Saccharomyces cerevisiae S288C: one gene and its partners. The protein of the gene in region 4 purifies or fractionates together with the protein of the main gene of each other region. This does not show direct contact. Each region holds a gene or a part of one and is shown on either strand. Other genes may lie near its edges.

Evidence for each region.
Region 1: the proteins of NAM7 (region 4) and PUF3 purify together in Saccharomyces cerevisiae (affinity purification with mass spectrometry; 2 studies listed by BioGRID). This does not show direct contact.
Region 2: the proteins of NAM7 (region 4) and RBS1 purify together in Saccharomyces cerevisiae (affinity purification with mass spectrometry; 3 studies listed by BioGRID, with this or other methods). This does not show direct contact.
Region 3: the proteins of NAM7 (region 4) and LSM12 purify together in Saccharomyces cerevisiae (affinity purification with mass spectrometry, with the first as the bait; one study listed by BioGRID). This does not show direct contact.

What each region holds. Positions count from the first base shown.
Region 1 is NC_001144.5:121,575-127,233, forward strand, and holds PUF3 (mRNA-binding protein PUF3), read right to left. Parts: upstream 3,141-5,659; coding exon 501-3,140; downstream 1-500. Other genes in the region: EMC6 (Emc6p), read left to right, coding at 1-74; YEH1 (sterol esterase), read left to right, coding at 3,960-5,659. UniProt on the Saccharomyces cerevisiae protein: RNA-binding protein involved in post-transcriptional regulation. Negatively regulates expression of COX17 by binding to the 3'-UTR of COX17 mRNA. Promotes decay of COX17 mRNA by enhancing its rate of deadenylation and subsequent turnover.
Region 2 is NC_001136.10:119,995-124,524, reverse strand, and holds RBS1 (Rbs1p), read right to left. Parts: upstream 2,310-4,530; coding exon 936-2,309; downstream 1-935. Other genes in the region: phosphoprotein phosphatase 2A catalytic subunit PPH22, read left to right, coding at 1-660; ubiquitin-ubiquitin ligase UFD2, read left to right, coding at 2,933-4,530.
Region 3 is NC_001140.6:350,824-353,819, reverse strand, and holds LSM12 (Lsm12p), read right to left. Parts: upstream 1,065-2,996; coding exon 501-1,064; downstream 1-500. Other genes in the region: iron-sulfur cluster assembly protein CIA2, read right to left, coding at 1-195; mismatch repair ATPase MSH1, read right to left, coding at 1,367-2,996.
Region 4 is NC_001145.3:426,212-431,396, forward strand, and holds NAM7 (ATP-dependent RNA helicase NAM7), read right to left. Parts: upstream 3,417-5,185; coding exon 501-3,416; downstream 1-500. Other genes in the region: ISF1 (Isf1p), read right to left, coding at 3,868-4,884. UniProt on the Saccharomyces cerevisiae protein: RNA-dependent helicase required for nonsense-mediated decay (NMD) of aberrant mRNAs containing premature stop codons and modulates the expression level of normal mRNAs. Also capable of unwinding double-stranded DNA and translocating on single-stranded DNA.

The DNA of each region.
Region 1 (5,659 bases), on a different chromosome or scaffold from region 4:
TTTTCGAATCGTTTTTTAGAGAGATAACTGGTTTTGTCATGGCATGGACATTTGGATACGCCCTAATCGGATGAACATATAAGAACTACTTCTATAAACGGTTAGAAACAGGCTTGATTTATTATGTACAGTAAATATAATGTTATTTGTGTTTTTTTTTTTTAAATTTTTTTAGTTCCTTCTATGTAAAAAGACATGACAACAGTATTCTCAGTCAAATGATTTCAAATACACAATGTTAAATTCTCTATCTGTTGCAGAAATAAGAAGAGCGTAAGAGCGCAAAGATTTTTGCAGAAAAATAGAGATGAGGTACAAAAAGTAGGTAATGGAAAAAAGCAAATAATGAATATAGGGGAACATAAATGTTATGGACAAGAGTAGATATCAAAATAAAACAAAATAAAATAGAGTAAGTGAAAGACAAATGGAGGAAAAAAAAAAAAAAAAAAAAAAAAAAAAAATAGTAAAAAGTGAAAGGAGAACGATGATAACACTAATCACACCTCCGCATTTTCAACCAATGCTGCAAGTTTCTCAACACTGGCTAAATGTCTATTTCCTAGGGAGTTAGATTTGTTTAGTTTATCCAAATATGCTCTAATGGCAATGACGATCAATTTCTTACCCTCACCCTCAGAGACATTAACTAATTTTTGAATCACATAGTTGGCAAATTGATCCTTGATCATTAAAATCATTGGAGAATCGTCTTCCAGATTCAAAGCATGATTTTTGTCTCTTGGTAAAATCTTAGAAATTATTAAATCCTTCTGATTTTTAGAGCCATAAAGAATAGATTTTTCGACCACGTTGGAGGCAAATTTATGTTTAGAGTATTCGACAACATTATTGGCCACAGTTTCTATGATTTCCTGTTTGATATCGACCATTTCCTTATTGGTGAACTGATCTTGTTGCAAAACATATTGAATGACATAGTTACCATATTGGTCTTGAATTAGATATGGTATGAAATCTTTCAATTCGTTTAAAATGCTTTCCTGATCTTCGCTCGAACCAAATTCTAACAATCTTTGAATGACCCTACAGCCGTAGGAGTGGGTAGATAGATGGTAAATGTGGCCAGTTAAAGAACTTAAGATAAAAGGTAATTTTTCGATAGGAATTGTTTCGATGGCCTTTTGAATTACGTGATTACCGTTCTGATCTTTGATCATTTGCAAAACGGAGTCAGATAATTCCAGGACTAACTCAATTCTTTGATTGGAATCAATATATTCTAACGCCTTTTGAATTACACGACATGCGTACATTTGTAGAGATAACTGTTTCATGTTACCTTTAAATTGATCAACCAAAGTATTTTTTTGAATTTTGCTACCAAATTCAAAAAACTTCTGAATGACGTAATTACCAAATACATCGTTCGAAAGCTCAATGGCGTCATCGCGAATTTCATTGAATATGACCTCCTTTTCTGAGGCTGGTGAGGTGGCCAACTCGCGCTGAATGAACCGTGAACCATGTTGATCTTTGCAAAACTCTAAGGAATGGCCAAAGATGTCTTTTAGTGACATGTTCGAGTTTGAATTTTTGTCAGAACTACTGTTTCTTAGTTGCTCTAACAACGGCGATCGATGATACGTTTGCTGCTGTTGCTGTAGACTTTGAGAATGAGGATGAGAATGAGAGTGAGATTTATGGTTGTTGGCCGTTGACTCATTAGATTTGGAAGAAGCATTCTTTTTAGAGGTATTCTTTGTGGGTATAGAATTTTCTAGATAAGGATTTGCCTGTTTGTTGGCGTTGTTGGAGTTATTTGCAGGATGATTCTTGTTATTTCTTTTCTTGAAGGTTTTTTCGTCCTTGGGCATTTTGACAGGTATAGGATTTGGAGTAGGGTAGTAAATATAAGGATTCTCCTGTTGCTGTTGCTGTTGTTGGTCTTCTTGTTGTTGTTGTTGTTGCTGTTGCTGTTGTTGCTGGGGAGCAGAGAGTGGTGGAGGTGGCATAAACATCATTGGGTTGGGGTAGGCAAACGGGAACGGAGAATTGTTTGGAGGGGACGAAGGTGAAGAAACAGAAGAAGGTCTGTTTGCCTTCTTCTTTTTCTTACCATTTGAGTCTTCGGTGTCTTCATTTGCTGGAATCTGTACTGAAATCATCTGGGAGATGAAATTTGAAGGAGATCCGATCAAGTAGTTGGGGAAGTTTTGGTAATGAGGGCCCTGATGAAACTGATTGGGTGGGAAGCCGTTCATGTAGGGGGGGAAATTGTTATTTGCAGGCCCATCTTGTTGGTTAGGAAGCGCGACATTTGTGGCCCCAACAGCGGCTGGATTGTTACTAGGTCTAAATACTGGTGTGTTGGCTACGTTCCAGATATTTCTCTTGGGGTAATGAGCATTTTCGGACTCTAAAGACGCAGATGAGCCTGAATTTGAACTGGAGTGGTAAAGCGAACCACTGTTAGTAGTGTTCCTATTCAATTTGTTGAAGTTTTTGTCAGACTCGACATTTTGCTCGAAAGTATTCTGTGTGTCTAAGCTGGCGTTAGAGACGCTTTTTGATATGAATTGGGACTGAGTATTGACAGCGTCGGGTCTATCTTGAGATTCCAGTTCCCTTGTACCGTCAATCAAAGATTTTCCGAACTTCTCAAAAAACCCTTCCCCACCAGAGTTGTTGTTGTCATTGCCATTGTAGTAAACGGGACCAGCAATGGAAGCTGAATACTGGCCCAGAAGATGGTTGACCTTGTTGTTTTTCCCGAGATTAGCCGCAGTATGATGAGTATGATAGTTATTGTACGATGCGGATGACAGGGAGGCAGTGTCGGTTGATCTGTACTGGTAATAATTGCCGCCGTTACCAAAAAACTTTTTCGAGTTCGTGGAGAATGGCGGAGCAGTACCAACTGATAGGGCGGTTTTCTTGAAGATCGGTGAAGATTCACTGGAACCGTGAAGCAGCAAGATCTCTGAATCTACTTCATTTGCCGTGGTGAAACTCGACCTTCTGAAGCCGCCAATTTGCTGTGATCCAGCAGCACCGCCGTTCACAATGCCGGCCGCGGCGGCCTGACCGCCGTTGTTGTTACTATGGGACAGGGCGCTTAAAGAAGAAACTATGGATGCGAGTTCCATATCCATATCCATATCCATGTTCATTTCCATTTATACCCGCAATATTGCGTTATTCAGAAGAAATTTAAATGCGTAGTTCTTGTTTGTTTTCTTGTTTGCTTGCGTACTTCTATGCTTATAGATATATCAGTAGCAAGGAAGTTTCCTTTTCACCGCCTTTCAATGTTCCTATCTTTTTCTTATGTTTCTCTTTAGAGACCAGATGACCAGAAAAAAATTAGCTAAGCAGTGTTATACTATTTACAGTAGATATTCAAATATGTGCAGGCACCACTTATTTTTCTTTTTCCTTCTTTTCTTTGTTTTTTTTTTTCTCCTATTCATCAAGCTTCATACATCCAATATACATTCTCAAGTGTGCTAATGGTACATTTGGGAAATTATCTTCCTCTCTCCACAATTTTTAGAAGGAAAAAAGAAATGCAGTTCAGGGTAACAGAGTGCGCAATTACCGTAGATAGCGATCGGATGTTTATCTTTAGCCCTCTTTTTCTAGCTCAAACCCCGGCACGAATTTTTTAGGTCTTGCTGCTCTGCCCTCGGGCACTTTTCTTCGAGAAGTTCTGGGGCGGTCTGATCGGGAAAAAACGTTCCCTTTTCGGACGTATCGCAGGCAATGTGCAAAAGCTTATTATATACGAGAAAAGAAACGCGAAGGAACGAAAGAAGATGAAAAAAATGCAGCGATAAAATGATATTGTGGTTAATCTAAATTTATATATATATATATATATACATATATATATAGAAATCTATTGTTATACACAAAAATACTTATTTTTTAATATAGATGGCTGCAGATAAAGTAATAGTTTTATATATAGGTATATTTACTGCACAATTCACACGATGGGTGTTTCTGCGGTGTTGAAAAGAGCTAGGAATTTACTAGCAACGTTCATAGTCTGCTGTTTTATGGCAGTAGTGCTTGTTCTGGCGCTGGCACACCATTTTATAAATGAGCACAGAGACACTAGGAGTTCATCGACCCAAATCGAAGTTGATGACGAAAGTAAAAGAAACGTACACCATGACCATGTTCTCACTAGAACCAATGCATACGCGACGCCATACCTCGATCTGGAACATGACAAGAAAAACGGTATCGTCTACGATCATACAAGAACGGTTGTCCGTAAAAAGAACCACGAAGTGGGGTCCTCGTCACTGCATAAAAACCTTTTTCACAAATTTTTGACAAAGCTTATTTTTAGGTTTATCGAGAAGGAAAAAGTTACCGAAGGCGTAACGCAAGGAAAGTTCAATAATAGTAGCAATGAAATTGCCAATCATGAACCGGTTTTTGAAAAAATTCCTGTACAGTGCGACAATCCATTACAGAATCTAATCTTATCGGAAGACTTGACATTAGTTGCGGATCTTAATTATTATTTTAACCAGTACAATATTCAAATAGAGGAATTTAGATTGGAGACCGAAGATGGGTTTGTTATAGATTTGTGGCACTTGATACCAAAATATAGAACGACAGATTCTGACAAGAAGAAGAGGCCACCCATTTTGATGCTACATGGCCTTTTGCAAAGCAGTGGTTCGTTCGCATCCAATGGTAGAAAATCTCTGGCATATTTTCTGTATCAATCCGGTTACGACATATGGTTAGGGAATAACAGATGCGGGTTTAGGCCGGAATGGAACGAAGCGAAAGTACCGACACTAGCTTCCAGGTGGGACTGGGACCTTCGCGAGATGGTTAAGTACGATCTGACCCTTTTGATTGATACCGTGTTAGCTAAGACGCAGTTTGAAAAGCTTACTTTGATCTCGCATTCTCAGGGCACTACACAGGGGTTTATGGGCTTGGTCAACGAAGATAAGTTTTTCCCTCCCGGTTCGGGATCTAAAGAATCTTTTTTCACTTCTAAGATCGCAAACTATATTGCCTTGGCCCCCGCAGTGTATCCTGGTCCCTTACTTAACGAGAAATTGTTTGTTAAGCTTATGACAAAGGAAATCGAAAATCCCTGGTTCTTTGGTGAAACGAGCTTTTTTGAGATAATGATGATTGTAAGAAACTTGTGCGTTGGTGAGAGCTTGTTCTCCTTTGTTTGTTACACCATCTTCAATTACCTGTTTGATTGGAACGATACCCTTTGGGATACCGCATTAAGAGATCGCCATTTCCTGTTTTCGCCAGTCCATGTTTCAGTGAAGTTGATGCAATGGTGGCTGTCACCCGACCCCAACAAGGTAAGTTTTAAATTTGGTTCCCATAAGATGTTCCCCGACAATGTTAAGTGGTTTTCAGACGCATCAAAGGCCCCAAATATCTACTTGTTTGTTCCAAAGCAAGATAGATTGGTGGACGGAGAAAGACTAATCAATCATTTCGTCAATGTGGAGTCGAATGTCAACTACAAGATCTGGTACATTGATGAGTATGCCCATATTGATGTCCTATGGGCACATGATGTCATAGAGAGAATTGGTAAACCAATTTTACAGAATTTGAACAACTATTACTCCAAGAAGCCATCCAGCGCCTTTGAAAGTGATTGTTCGGACACAGAGGTGGAAACGGAGCTGGA
Region 2 (4,530 bases), on a different chromosome or scaffold from region 4:
TATTATTCTGTTGAGACCGTATCTTACCTAGTTGCCATGAAAGTCAGATATCCACATAGAATTACTATACTTAGGGGCAATCACGAGTCTAGGCAGATTACCCAAGTATATGGGTTTTATGACGAATGTTTGAGAAAGTACGGCAGTGCGAACGTGTGGAAAATGTTTACCGATCTATTCGATTATTTCCCCGTTACTGCCTTGGTGGATAATAAAATCTTCTGTTTGCATGGAGGTCTCTCACCCATGATAGAGACAATAGATCAAGTTAGAGATTTAAATAGAATACAGGAAGTGCCTCACGAAGGTCCAATGTGTGACCTTCTATGGTCCGATCCTGATGATAGAGGCGGATGGGGAATCAGTCCGAGAGGTGCAGGCTTCACTTTTGGTCAAGACATCAGTGAGCAATTCAATCACACTAATGACCTATCACTAATAGCAAGAGCTCACCAATTGGTAATGGAAGGATATTCTTGGTCTCACCAGCAAAATGTTGTCACCATTTTCAGTGCTCCAAATTATTGTTATAGATGTGGTAACCAGGCCGCTATTATGGAGGTGGATGAAAACCATAATAGGCAATTCTTACAATACGATCCATCTGTGAGACCCGGTGAACCAACCGTCACCAGGAAGACACCGGATTATTTCTTATAATATATATCTATTACACCTTTATCCTTACTACGCTATTTCATTCCAACATACATTTATTTTTTTTTTTTTTTTAATATATATTTAGTTACTTTTTCCCTCTAATTTTTGATAATAACAACTTATATACAAACATACAAACTATTTTTTCGTTTTCAAATACTTATTTTTTCGAACACAAAGTGAAAACAACTTTTTCTCATATATTACTGTTCTCATACTAGAATTTCTATAAACCGTTACGTAATTTTTTCGCTATGTATAGTTCACTCCTCACGCTAAATGTTTAATTTATCAAATTTCATCTCTACCGAATCAGTATCCCTAGATGACGGCGAACCCTCAACACTAGCCCTACGAATTCCCTCATTCTTATTACTGTTACTGTCATCACTACGTTTCGGAATCGCACCAGAATATGAATTTTTTCCTTGAAAATGGTGGTACTTATTTGCTGAGGATCTTGTGTAATTGTTAGAATTATAGCTTGGTGTATTGCTATATGGCCCGCTGTGATACTGAGTGTTATATTGGTATTGATATTGATATTGGTATGGGGGATACATAGGGATTGGGGTGCCAAACGAACAGGACCCTTGGGGATTCATATTGTACATGTAAGGGTTCATGAAGACTGTGTTATTGCCCATTACCATGGGTGAAGGTGCAGGACCGGGGGCAGGACCAGCGGGGTTATACATTAGAGGGTAGGTTGGCAGACTATTGCCACCCATTTGGGGAGGAGGATACACAAGATATGGCGAAGAATATCCCGATTGGTAACCGCCGTTTTCTTTATTCCGACGACTTTGGCCTCTATAGGCATCTTTGTAATTGTTTGTTCCTCTTCTTCTTCCTCCTCTTCCTCTTCGACTATCATAAAATTGTTGTTGAGGTTTGTTTACTTGTATCGTCGTCACAGATGAATTGAATGGTGATGAAGAGCTAACTGAACCGTTACTAGTTTGTGTGTTAGAGTCATCTCCGTTCAACCAATCACTCCATTCATTGTCACTATCACTACTACCGCTACTGTTGGTTGACTTTACATCGTCTTCACTCTTGTTGAGCTTATCAAAAATTTCTTGTTTACGTTGTTCATAAAGTCTTTCCTTCTCAATTCTTTCTTGTTCCAAATCAGTACTAGATTTATCATCGATTTCGATTTTTTGGTCCTTATTTGAATTGGCTGTCAAATTGCTATTTGGTGTACGTGTATTGCCATCGATTTTATAATCGCACTCGTTACCTACCTCTTTCCGCTTTAAGATTCGAAATATTCTGTTATTGTTCGATTTTTCAATACTCTCACTTGAGGAAGCACACTCTTCCGGTTTTTTGTTCAGCTGCAACTCTTGTAAGAGTGGCTTTCCTTCAATCTTTTGGAAATTCTCACCTTTGAAAAGAATCACACAACTATCTTGAGTTCTTGCCAAAACATGGTTCAAGTTGTGGTACTCAGCTATTTGGTGCGATAGAAGCCTATAATATGAATTCATCGGTCTTAGCTGAAATGATTCTGTGTTTGAGTTTATGAATGACACTATGGAATTTTCCAGCTCTATTATAAAGATACGGTCCTGTGGTTTCTGGAACAAGCCCGTTTCCATAGCGGGTGTCAATCCCCAGTTTCGAGAATCTAGTGCTGTCATCACCTACTTCTGCCCTAACTCCTTATATACTTGAAGAGACTTGAATATCTTAGTTGTTAGTACGATACGAAATAACTAAAAAATTAATTAAAATAAAATAAATCGTGCGCCCATTATAAGATGCACGTTTCAACATACTGTCACCACGGCTTGCTGGTACAATATGGCTCAATTGCCTACGCCAAAACTTGTCGAGTTGTATGTGAAAGAAAGAAGAAACAGATAGGCTAACCCGCATATGACACTAGCCAACGCTTCTTAATCGATATTCTTATTATATCAATATTATTTTGCGCTTAACGATTCATCCTTTCGTCGAGGACGCTATTTTGTCAGTATTCGTCAGAGGCGATAGTCTGTCTTTATTACAAAAGGTGAATTGAAGATCAAAGGTAGATTCTAACCATTGGCAACAAAATAATAGAGGTGTACGCCGCAATCATTGTTAATCATTAAGTAATTGCCATTTTATTCACATTTTTAGACTCAACCACTTGCTGTTGCCACAGTAAACGTTAATTATATCTTTGAGAATTGTGTCAGCCAATAGAAAGGTAAAGTTGACCACAAGTTGTTTAAGGGGAAAAGTTAACTTTGAAAGTAGAACCCTCATTCCATAGATCATGACCGCCATAGAAGATATTTTACAAATCACCACCGATCCTTCCGATACCCGTGGCTACTCTCTATTGAAGTCCGAGGAAGTGCCTCAAGGCTCAACTCTTGGAGTTGATTTTATTGATACGCTACTATTATATCAACTCACCGAGAATGAGAAGTTGGATAAACCGTTTGAATATTTGAACGATTGCTTTCGCCGTAATCAGCAACAAAAAAGAATCACCAAAAACAAGCCAAATGCTGAGTCATTACATTCCACTTTCCAAGAGATTGATCGTCTTGTCATTGGCTATGGTGTCGTTGCCTTACAAATAGAAAACTTTTGCATGAATGGTGCTTTCATCAATTATATCACTGGAATTGTTTCTAACGTTAACTCATATACTGATTTCCTTTCCCAAATCATTCAAAGAGCCATATTAGAAGGTACCGCTTTGGATTTACTTAACGCTGTTTTCCCGACATTATTAGAATACTGTAATAAACATGTCAGCCATTTTGATTTGAACGAATCTGTAATTTACAATAACGTTCTTACCATTTTTGAGTTATTTGTTACATTTAAACCTATTGCAGAAATATTCACTAAAATAGATGGTTTTTTTGCAGACTATAGCTGTAAACCACAGGATTTTGAAAGGAAAACGATATTGGGGCCTATTTTATCTCTTTCTCCCATAGAAGCTGCTGTGGCAATCCGGAACTACGGCGATAACCTTTTGCGTTCCAAACAACAGACAGCCATGATCCATGAATCTCTACAAGCTGAGCATAAAGTTGTCATAGATAGACTCTTTTTTATTGTCGATAAGCTTGTTCGTGGCTCCTTAAACTCAAGGACTGATATGATTAGTTATTTTGCCCATATCGCTAATAAAAACCATTTACGTAGAGCCGATCATCCACCATTCAAAGAACTATCCTCTAACGGATTTATGTCCAATATCACTTTGTTATTGGTTAGATTTTCTCAACCATTTCTAGATATTTCATATAAGAAAATCGACAAGATCGACGCAAATTACTTCAACAACCCAAGTTTATTTATTGATTTATCAGGGGAAACACGATTAAATTCTGATTTTAAAGAGGCAGATGCATTTTATGACAAGAACAGAAAAACAGCAGATTCTAAGCCAAACTTCATCTCTGATTGCTTTTTCTTGACATTAACCTATTTGCATTATGGTCTGGGAGGTACATTATCATTTGAAGAGAAGATGGGATCTGAAATCAAAGCGTTAAAGGAAGAAATTGAAAAAGTAAAGAAAATAGCTGCGAACCACGATGTCTTTGCCAGATTCATTACAGCACAATTATCCAAGATGGAGAAGGCGTTGAAAACAACAGAATCTTTGCGATTTGCTCTTCAAGGGTTCTTCGCTCATAGATCTCTTCAACTAGAGGTTTTCGACTTTATTTGTGGTGCATCTACGTTCTTGATTCGTGTTGTGGATCCTGAACACGAATTTCCGTTTAAACAAATTAAATTGCCATTAATTCCGGACCAAATAGGTGTTGAAAACGTGGACAACGCTGATTTTTTGAGAGCGCATGCTCCAGTGCCTTTTAAATACTATCCAGAATTTGTTGTAGAAGG
Region 3 (2,996 bases), on a different chromosome or scaffold from region 4:
CTTGTCTAAGACCTCTATATCTTGCAATACCTGAGACTTTAAAGAATGGTCTATTTTCAGCAAAAGGCTTCTCCTTTCCAGCGTAGCTTCGTTGCTGAACCCGCCTAACAAAAGGTCCTTGGTACTATCTTCTTTTCTAGTGGGAAGTTGGTTCTCCTCTAAAATGTCGGGATTTTCATTCAAAAACTCAGACATGTGTACTATAAGTGATAACAGGAAATCGTAGAATAATGCAGTAGCAAGATTTTATATTCGACTGGATCTTGAAATACTCGATTTTTTTGCTTGTTAGTCATCACTTATTCGCATTTAAATCTAATTCAATTATTCAAACACCGTACACCCAAGCATTGCGACTGAGAAGAGAGTGGTGGAATATTATAGTTTGATAAATAGAAAAATCTGTAGACTCAAATGGATCTCTTTATAAACAATAGTTGACATTATAGAAGTACGGATAAAATATATAACGTATATTATCGTTTCCGTCATTAATTAATCTATCCACCTTTCCTACCATCGTCTTGTTCTAGCTGCTCCCAGCTTCTTTCCACTATTCTTTGAATTAATGTAATGGATTGGTTACTTCCCTCATGTAGCACTTTGATATCTTCGACCTTGTATGGAGGTTGCACCTTAACGTCATCAAGAATAATGATGTCTTTAGCCACCCACTTAGTATCTCCTATGGTCTTGAAGATTTGATCGAAAATGAACTGACCCTCTGCACTCACACCCTTGCCCCTTAAGAGTTCTTTCTTTTTAGATGCTATTACACTTTCTTTCAAAAGCTTCTCAACTCTTTCCACGTTGACATATGAGGGTTTGATTTGTTGCTTTTTGAATGAGTTAAACGAGGGCTTATCACCAATGACTTCCAAATGCTTGATGAATGTACATTTTATCACCTTGAAGTTTTGTGGAGATTGATTCTTCTTTGTTGTTTGGATAGTAAGAGTGTTGTTGGATGAATTGAACGAATACAATCTTCCTTCAGTAACTACATCCAACACGTTCGTAACTTTTATTCTGAATCCGAGCGTTTGCTCAAGGCTGACACTCATGGACGAAAGATGCAAATTGATTTCTTTAGTTACAAGCTTAGATAACCGCTATTTACAAGCCTGGCTCAGAGTGTTTCCTTACCGTAATAAATATCCACCATTATATTCATGGTATAAGGTTTGATCGTTTTGTTTCCGCTAATATCATTCGCGCGACAAACTACGGAAATTTGCAAACTACCGTTTTTGCCATTTTCTAAGTATCTTCACAGTCGCTTTTGAAAAAAAAGACAGGGAAATTGATTCCACATCTTATTATATTACATGTCAAATTATATACAATTAATAGTTGTATTCAAAAGTTATCCCAATATTTCGCGGGCTTCTTTTAACGCTTCCATTGGAAATCCGGCCAATTCCGCAACTCTAATGGCATCTGATTTCGTGCAGATGCCCGGCTTCAACTTATGGTTGTAACAAAAATTGTTTCCACCTAAATCAGTGATTCCGCTTTGGTAAAACTTGACCTTTTCGCTCATTCCTTTCGAACATTTGTTATCAATGATTTGCTTCAGTTCTTGACCAAAATGTGTAGCAAAAAGCGTTCTGCATTGATTGTTCTCTAACAAATACTTTAAAGTTGCATAAGCGATGCTAATGCCTTCTTTACCACTAGTCCCACGGCCAATCTCATCTAGAATAGCTAAAGACCGTTCCGTAGCTCCTTGCAAGATGAACGATGTTTCTATCATCTCAACCATGAACGTACTCATCTCATTGTACAGATCATCTGCTGAACCAACTCGGCTAAAAAGCTTATCTACAATACCCACACGCGCCTTACTGCATGGAACAAAACATCCAATTTGCGCCAGAATGACTATAATTGCATTCTGTCTTAAGAATGTAGATTTACCACCCATATTCGGTCCGGTAATTACCCATAAATTGTCCTTCGCCAATTCGCAGTTATTGGCCGTGAATGTCTCCAAAGAGCGCGCGGAAAGACCCTCTTCAACCATTAGATGTCTCCCATTCACTACTTCTAGTTTATTGCTCTCATCCACTTTTGGGCAGACTAAATTTCTCTCGTTAGCTAACACAGCAAAGGACGATAAGGTATCAAGATAGCCCAGTGTAGTTGCAACTTGTCTGACCTCGTTACTTCTATCAATAAATTTCCTTTTAAAAAGATCAATAATATTAGCCTCTTCATTCCTAATCTTTAAATTTAATAATTCCAACTCGTGCCCCAAGTCTGTCCAAATTTTGTGACTCAACCATCGTGTTTGGCTTGATTTTTGCAAAATATGGAAGCAACTTCCGTGGTACTCCGTCGATTTACTAATTAACTCATCAATTTTCTTTAAACTAGAGGCTGTTCCTGTCACATGGAGGGCATACTCACCGTTTTGCCTTTCCTTCAAGGTGAAAGTCTTAGCACCTAGGTCGCCAACAAAAAAACCTTTTAATAAAGCATTGTACTCAGTTTTTTTTTGCCAAACGCCCTGATAAGTGTCATGCAATTTCCTAAGTTTGGTATTGAACGAAGGGTTTACGATAAAATCTCTTAATTCAAAAATCTCATCTTTGTTACTTTCTTTCTTGTCTTTTACATCTATGTCAAGCATTCTAGTTACATCTGCATTCTGTTTAGCATCTTGTGACTTTGCTAGCTCTTCCTCATTTAAAAACTTCAAAATATCATCAATCAAATTTTTTTCAAAATTTAAAGACTCAGTCAGCTGTGTGATTTGACTCTTTAATGTAGCTTTCATCAACGACGTGTTATTTAGTAAATATTTTCTTATTTCTCTTGAAACCTCTAGTGAACGTGCCATTTGAATAAGTTCTAATGCCTCGCCCCTTCCGAAACTAAACTTTTGAAGTATACGGGATAGATCATTTACTTTTTTCAACATAGTCCGTAGTGTTTCAGTGATATCACGGTTGTCTTTGAAAAATGCTACAATTTTCTGACGCTTTTTAATT
Region 4 (5,185 bases):
TACTCTTTTTTTATTTTTTTTTTTTCTTCCACTCAGCTATTAGATTATTTATTATTTTATTATCTGTGGTATCATTTTCTACAGCCATACCTTGATTTTAGTTTATTTTGTTGGCAGTTATATACATTTATCTTATAGAATACATATGCACGTATTAAACAATAAAAAGAACATAAGCAAAAATGAAACCTCGCTACAATAAAACTTTATTACGCATTGCAGTGCGCCGTAAAGAGTATTCATTAGAAGTACAATGGTAGCCCTATTTGGTTGCAACATGTTTTAGCAAAGAGATTAGTAGGCTAGGATATCAAGTCCATGCCCCTTTATCACATACTGTAATGATAGATGCACCTCCGGAAAAGTAAAAAAAGTTTTTCAGGTTACAATTGTGCAAATTGCGAGTCTATCTCGAATAATTTTGCAGCGCTCATTTCACGGTTGAGCCGTTTTGTATCACAAGCCAAGTTTAACATTTTATTTTAACAGGGTTCACCGAATTATATTCCCAAATTGCTGAAGTCTTTTGACAATTCATGCTTTTGTTCTTCTCTCTGTAACTCTCTCGCGAAGTTAGAGTTCAAATGAGAAGCCTCCTCCTGGTACAAATTTCTATCGTCAATTTCATTGCGATTTTGCTTTTGAGAAAAAGCACTTTTAAAATTCTCAAAATTCCAATATTCATTATTGATGTAAGAAGAAAGTTCTGTGTTGTCAACAAATGCATTACCAAAGTCCCCAATTTGACCACTGAATGACACCATACTCTGTGCATCAAAATCCTGGAACTTCGGAAAGTCACCCATTTCAGATTCTACGTTAAATTGAGCGTTCATTGGCCGTTCAGTCTTTCTTGGCTGAGGACGAACTAATTGAACAGTGCATAACTGTAAGTTATCCAACGTACCTTCGACTAAACAACCCTTCTCTCTGAAGTGGATTAACAGATGGTTCCATAATGTGTTTCTTGCCAAAGATCTAGGATTACCAAGAATAACTAGACCATATTTGGCACGGGTTAGACCCACGTTTAGACGACGAGGATCACGTAAGAAACCAATGGCCTGTTGTTCATTGGCACGAACACACGATAAGATTATGTAATCCTTTTCACGACCTTGGAATGCATCAACTGAGGCAACTTCCACTTTGATATACAAATCCTTATCCAATGAACCATTCATTTGCATATATTGTAAAATATAAGCTCTTTGTCCCTCATATGGTGTGATAACACCAATTTGCTCGGGCTTGACACCGTCTCTGAAAAGTTTAGTGATGATTCGTTCACAATTCATGGCTTCAATTCTGTTTAAGAAGGAAGTACCGTTAGCAGAAATCTCCTCTCTACCGTAATTGGCCCAAAACATCATTGGTATACCGCGAATTGGCCATGGGAATTTGCTGTTGGGAACGGTACGCTGTTCAATCGTTACACCATTTTGTAGGCTGCCTTCATAAAACATGTTACTTGGAAACTCACTCAAATAAGGATTCATACGGTATTGAACTTCCAAACGAATCGGTACGTGGCCTAGAGAGATTAATCTTTCAAAGAGAGATTGTTTCAAACCAGCGTCTGCCGCCTTTCGTTCCAATATGACTGGGCCCAGTTGCTGGTGATCACCAACAAGTATAACTTGTTTCGCACCTTTAACGATTGGGATTAAACATTCCGGCTCAGAAGCTTGAGTACTTTCATCAATTAACACAGTCCTAAATTTAGTGTCTAAGCGCTTATCACCAGCACCAACACATGTGCAACATACGACATCTGCCTTATTGAGAATTTCTGCTTCTGTTTTCCTTACTAATTTAACAAACCGTTTTGTATCAGAAGCAGATAATTCGCCAACTTCATCCTTTAACTTTAATAGGTTTTTTAATTCCCCTTTAGCACCACGGCCAACCAAATTATGCAATGCTAAGTTGGAGACGGAACTCTCCACATCTTCTCTACTTTTCGCGGTAAGTCTAACAACTTTTAAACCCAAGTCACGTAATTTGGCAGCCAAATGATCTACAGCAACGTTTGATGGGGCACACACCAATATTCTATCCTTGTGTATTTTGGAAAGGTGATACACAATCGTTGCTGAAGTAACTGTTTTACCAGTGCCTGGTGGGCCTTGAATTAAAGATAACGGACGTTGTAATACATGACTAACAGCGTTCGACTGGGATGAGTTTAATTGTGCAAAATTCGGAATTGAAAACTCCTTAGGTAATGGGACATCAAATGAAATGTCAACCACTTGATGGCCTAAAATTTTATAGTACAAATAACCTGAAATAGATTTTTTATCAATGGCAAATTTTTTCAATGCGTCTTGCATCCTGTCATAAGAGGTACCTTTCCAGATGAACTCAGCAGTAAAACCAGTGGTCAAATGTGTTGGAGGTGGCGTTTTACTTGGTTTTAACTCTAATGTGAATGTGTCCTGGAAGCTATTTGGTAACCGAACAATGTAACCACGACCTTCCCAATCAGGATGTTGCATGCCAGAGTACCATAGTATCATTTCATCACCGATGGCAACTTTCAACTCGTTAGATTCGAAAGTAGATAAAGTGAAAGATGCTAAATGCCTATTATTTAAAGCTAAGGACCATGAAACAGAAATATGTTCTAAAGCTTGAGATTCCTTGAGTTGTTTATCATAGTCGGCCTCCAATTTGATTAAAGGCCCGTAAGATCTTTGGTATTCGTAGGCGTCTTGATATCTCAATAGTAAAGGTGGGATTGCTTCCTGTTCCTCTGGGGCGTCAATATCATTAATTGTAGCGTCTTTATTGGATCTCCATTTTGCCTCCAACTTGGAAATTTGGCTAGGAGTGATTAAACGAGCTTTCAATTTTTCTTCTTCAGTTGGTTGCTCTGCGACCCATGATAAAAGTTGTCTGTCTTCAATTAATGGTTGCCATTGATCAGTATCCCAGTTCGCATTTTTCGTCTGGGCACAAGGTATTCTACAAAGTAAAACAACCACGGCCTCACTTTTAGCGGAAACAAATCCCAATAAAAACACGTTCTTACGTCCACAGTTATAACATTCCAAAACGGTATCCCCTAAGTCAGAATCTGGATGTAAAGAAACTACGTTATGGTGGGATAAAACTAAGTGATTAACAATGTGGGAGCTGCTTGTACCGTTTTTAGTGTTACAAAACCATTTCTTACATGAATTACATTTGATGACACACTTTGCAGAATCTATACCACAATACGCACATGAATTGTCTGAAGCTGAAGGCGAACGGAATCCAGTCTCAGTGACTTGAGCCTCTTCAAATAGCTGATTATCTACATCGTCATCCTCCACCAAGGTGGAATTTAGTTGTGTTGCGGGTTGGACATTTACATCAGATGGAGAGTTTGATATATCATAAGGAGTGTGAGAACCGGAACCGACCATTTGATAATGACAATGATTGATGTAATATAAAAAGTATATTCGGTCTTGCTGCCCTTCCTTCTTTCCTGATGAAATCTTCAACGTTTGTTGGCTGACAAGAGAAATAGAGTCTTCTGTTAGTGTGCGTTAAAACGATGCCTCTTTTCGCTTTTTTTTTCTCCTTCACAATAGCATCGTAAGTTTCTGGTAAGCTTTTCATTTGATCAGTTAGTACGAAAGCGTATAAAGGTGTCCCTCCCAAATCAAGTAAGCAAAGGGAAACTGATGATACTAAAATAATGTAAATTAAGATTAAACTAAAGTTAAAAGTAAAAGCATTCACTCGTTTAATATTATTGAGTGGATAGTAACTAACTATGTATATTTTCTTTTTGTTTTTCTTATTTCCCGTTCATGAATTCATTAAAAGTTAGGCGAATTACGGAGTTCGCCAGATGCATATGTTTCGTTTTCAATTGGAGAATGAACTCGCTAGTGACAATTTTATGAATGATTTTCTCCTGGGATTCCTTTCCTCCAGGCAATTAGAAGTGTGAGGACTAGATTCTTCGTTAGAAGAAGCCACACTAGTATTCAATGAACTATTGGAAGGAGATTTCACCAAAGAGTTGGAATACGAGTTGTTTCTAGTCTGCAAGGGAGAGGAAGAGGAACCATTGGAAAGAAGCGAAAAGGATTCTCTTCTTAGATTTGATGGCGTTCGTTCTCTGTGATAGTGGTTAAGGTTTCCACTGTGACCTGGGACGTTATTTGATGATATTTTCCCATGGGAAATCAATTTTAGTCGATTATTCTTTTCGTTGGAGAGATAAGACGACGGATATGCAGCCGAACTTGAATTCAGATTCAAATACGAGTTGGAATTCGAGGCGGGTGTTGAAACAGATGTTAATGGGGAAGTGAGATCATTTGACTGGTCGTTAGCTACTGCTAGAGAGTCTAGCTCGGATGAAACGTATTTTTCAAGGCCGTATAGATGTGTTGGTATACCGTAACAGGAAGAATGCCTGGATCTTGGCTTTATGCATTTGTGGTCAAAACAGGAATCCGCCGCGTCGCCCAAGGAAGACTGTCTTGTGGATTGTCTGGACAACTGGTGAATGAGGGTGCTACTATTTGCTCTTATTCTTCTTGGAGAAGGGCGAATTGGTTCATTGGAATTGTTCGTTGAATTTGCTGGGACGAAGCCATACAAGTGATGCGGAGCTGTCTTGATTTTTCTCAAATGGTGGCCAATAGTATGATTGCCTATGTGTCTGCTTGTATTACCGGCATTGGTACTGCTGCTGTGGTGAGAATTATTTGATTTCGAGGAATTTTGAAAACTAAAGGACGCTAATTTGGAATTTACAAAATCATTCAAATCATTTGAACCTAAAAAACTTTGTACGTCTGTTTCATCTTCATAATCACAATCTTGACAAAATGGATCTTGTACACCTCTTTCAAAAATTTCTGAAGCAATCATCAAAATACAGCGACTATTTCTATTCTTTGATGTTTTTTATTCCACTGAGGAGATAATTATTCAAACTGAAATATTTTACGCAAACCTTTCTATTTATGTGTATTACCTTTAATCTAAGTGGTTGTAGCTCATACACTTATTATAATTGGTAGAGAAAGAAGAAAAGAAAAAAAGACAAATTTAAGTAGACTTGAATAAAAGTAAGATAGAAAGAGATGTGAGATTTTCAGATGTTTGCTTACAGAAAAAACAAGAGTTCTTAAACATCAAGAAATCGGTAAAAGTGTAATTGTATTTATAA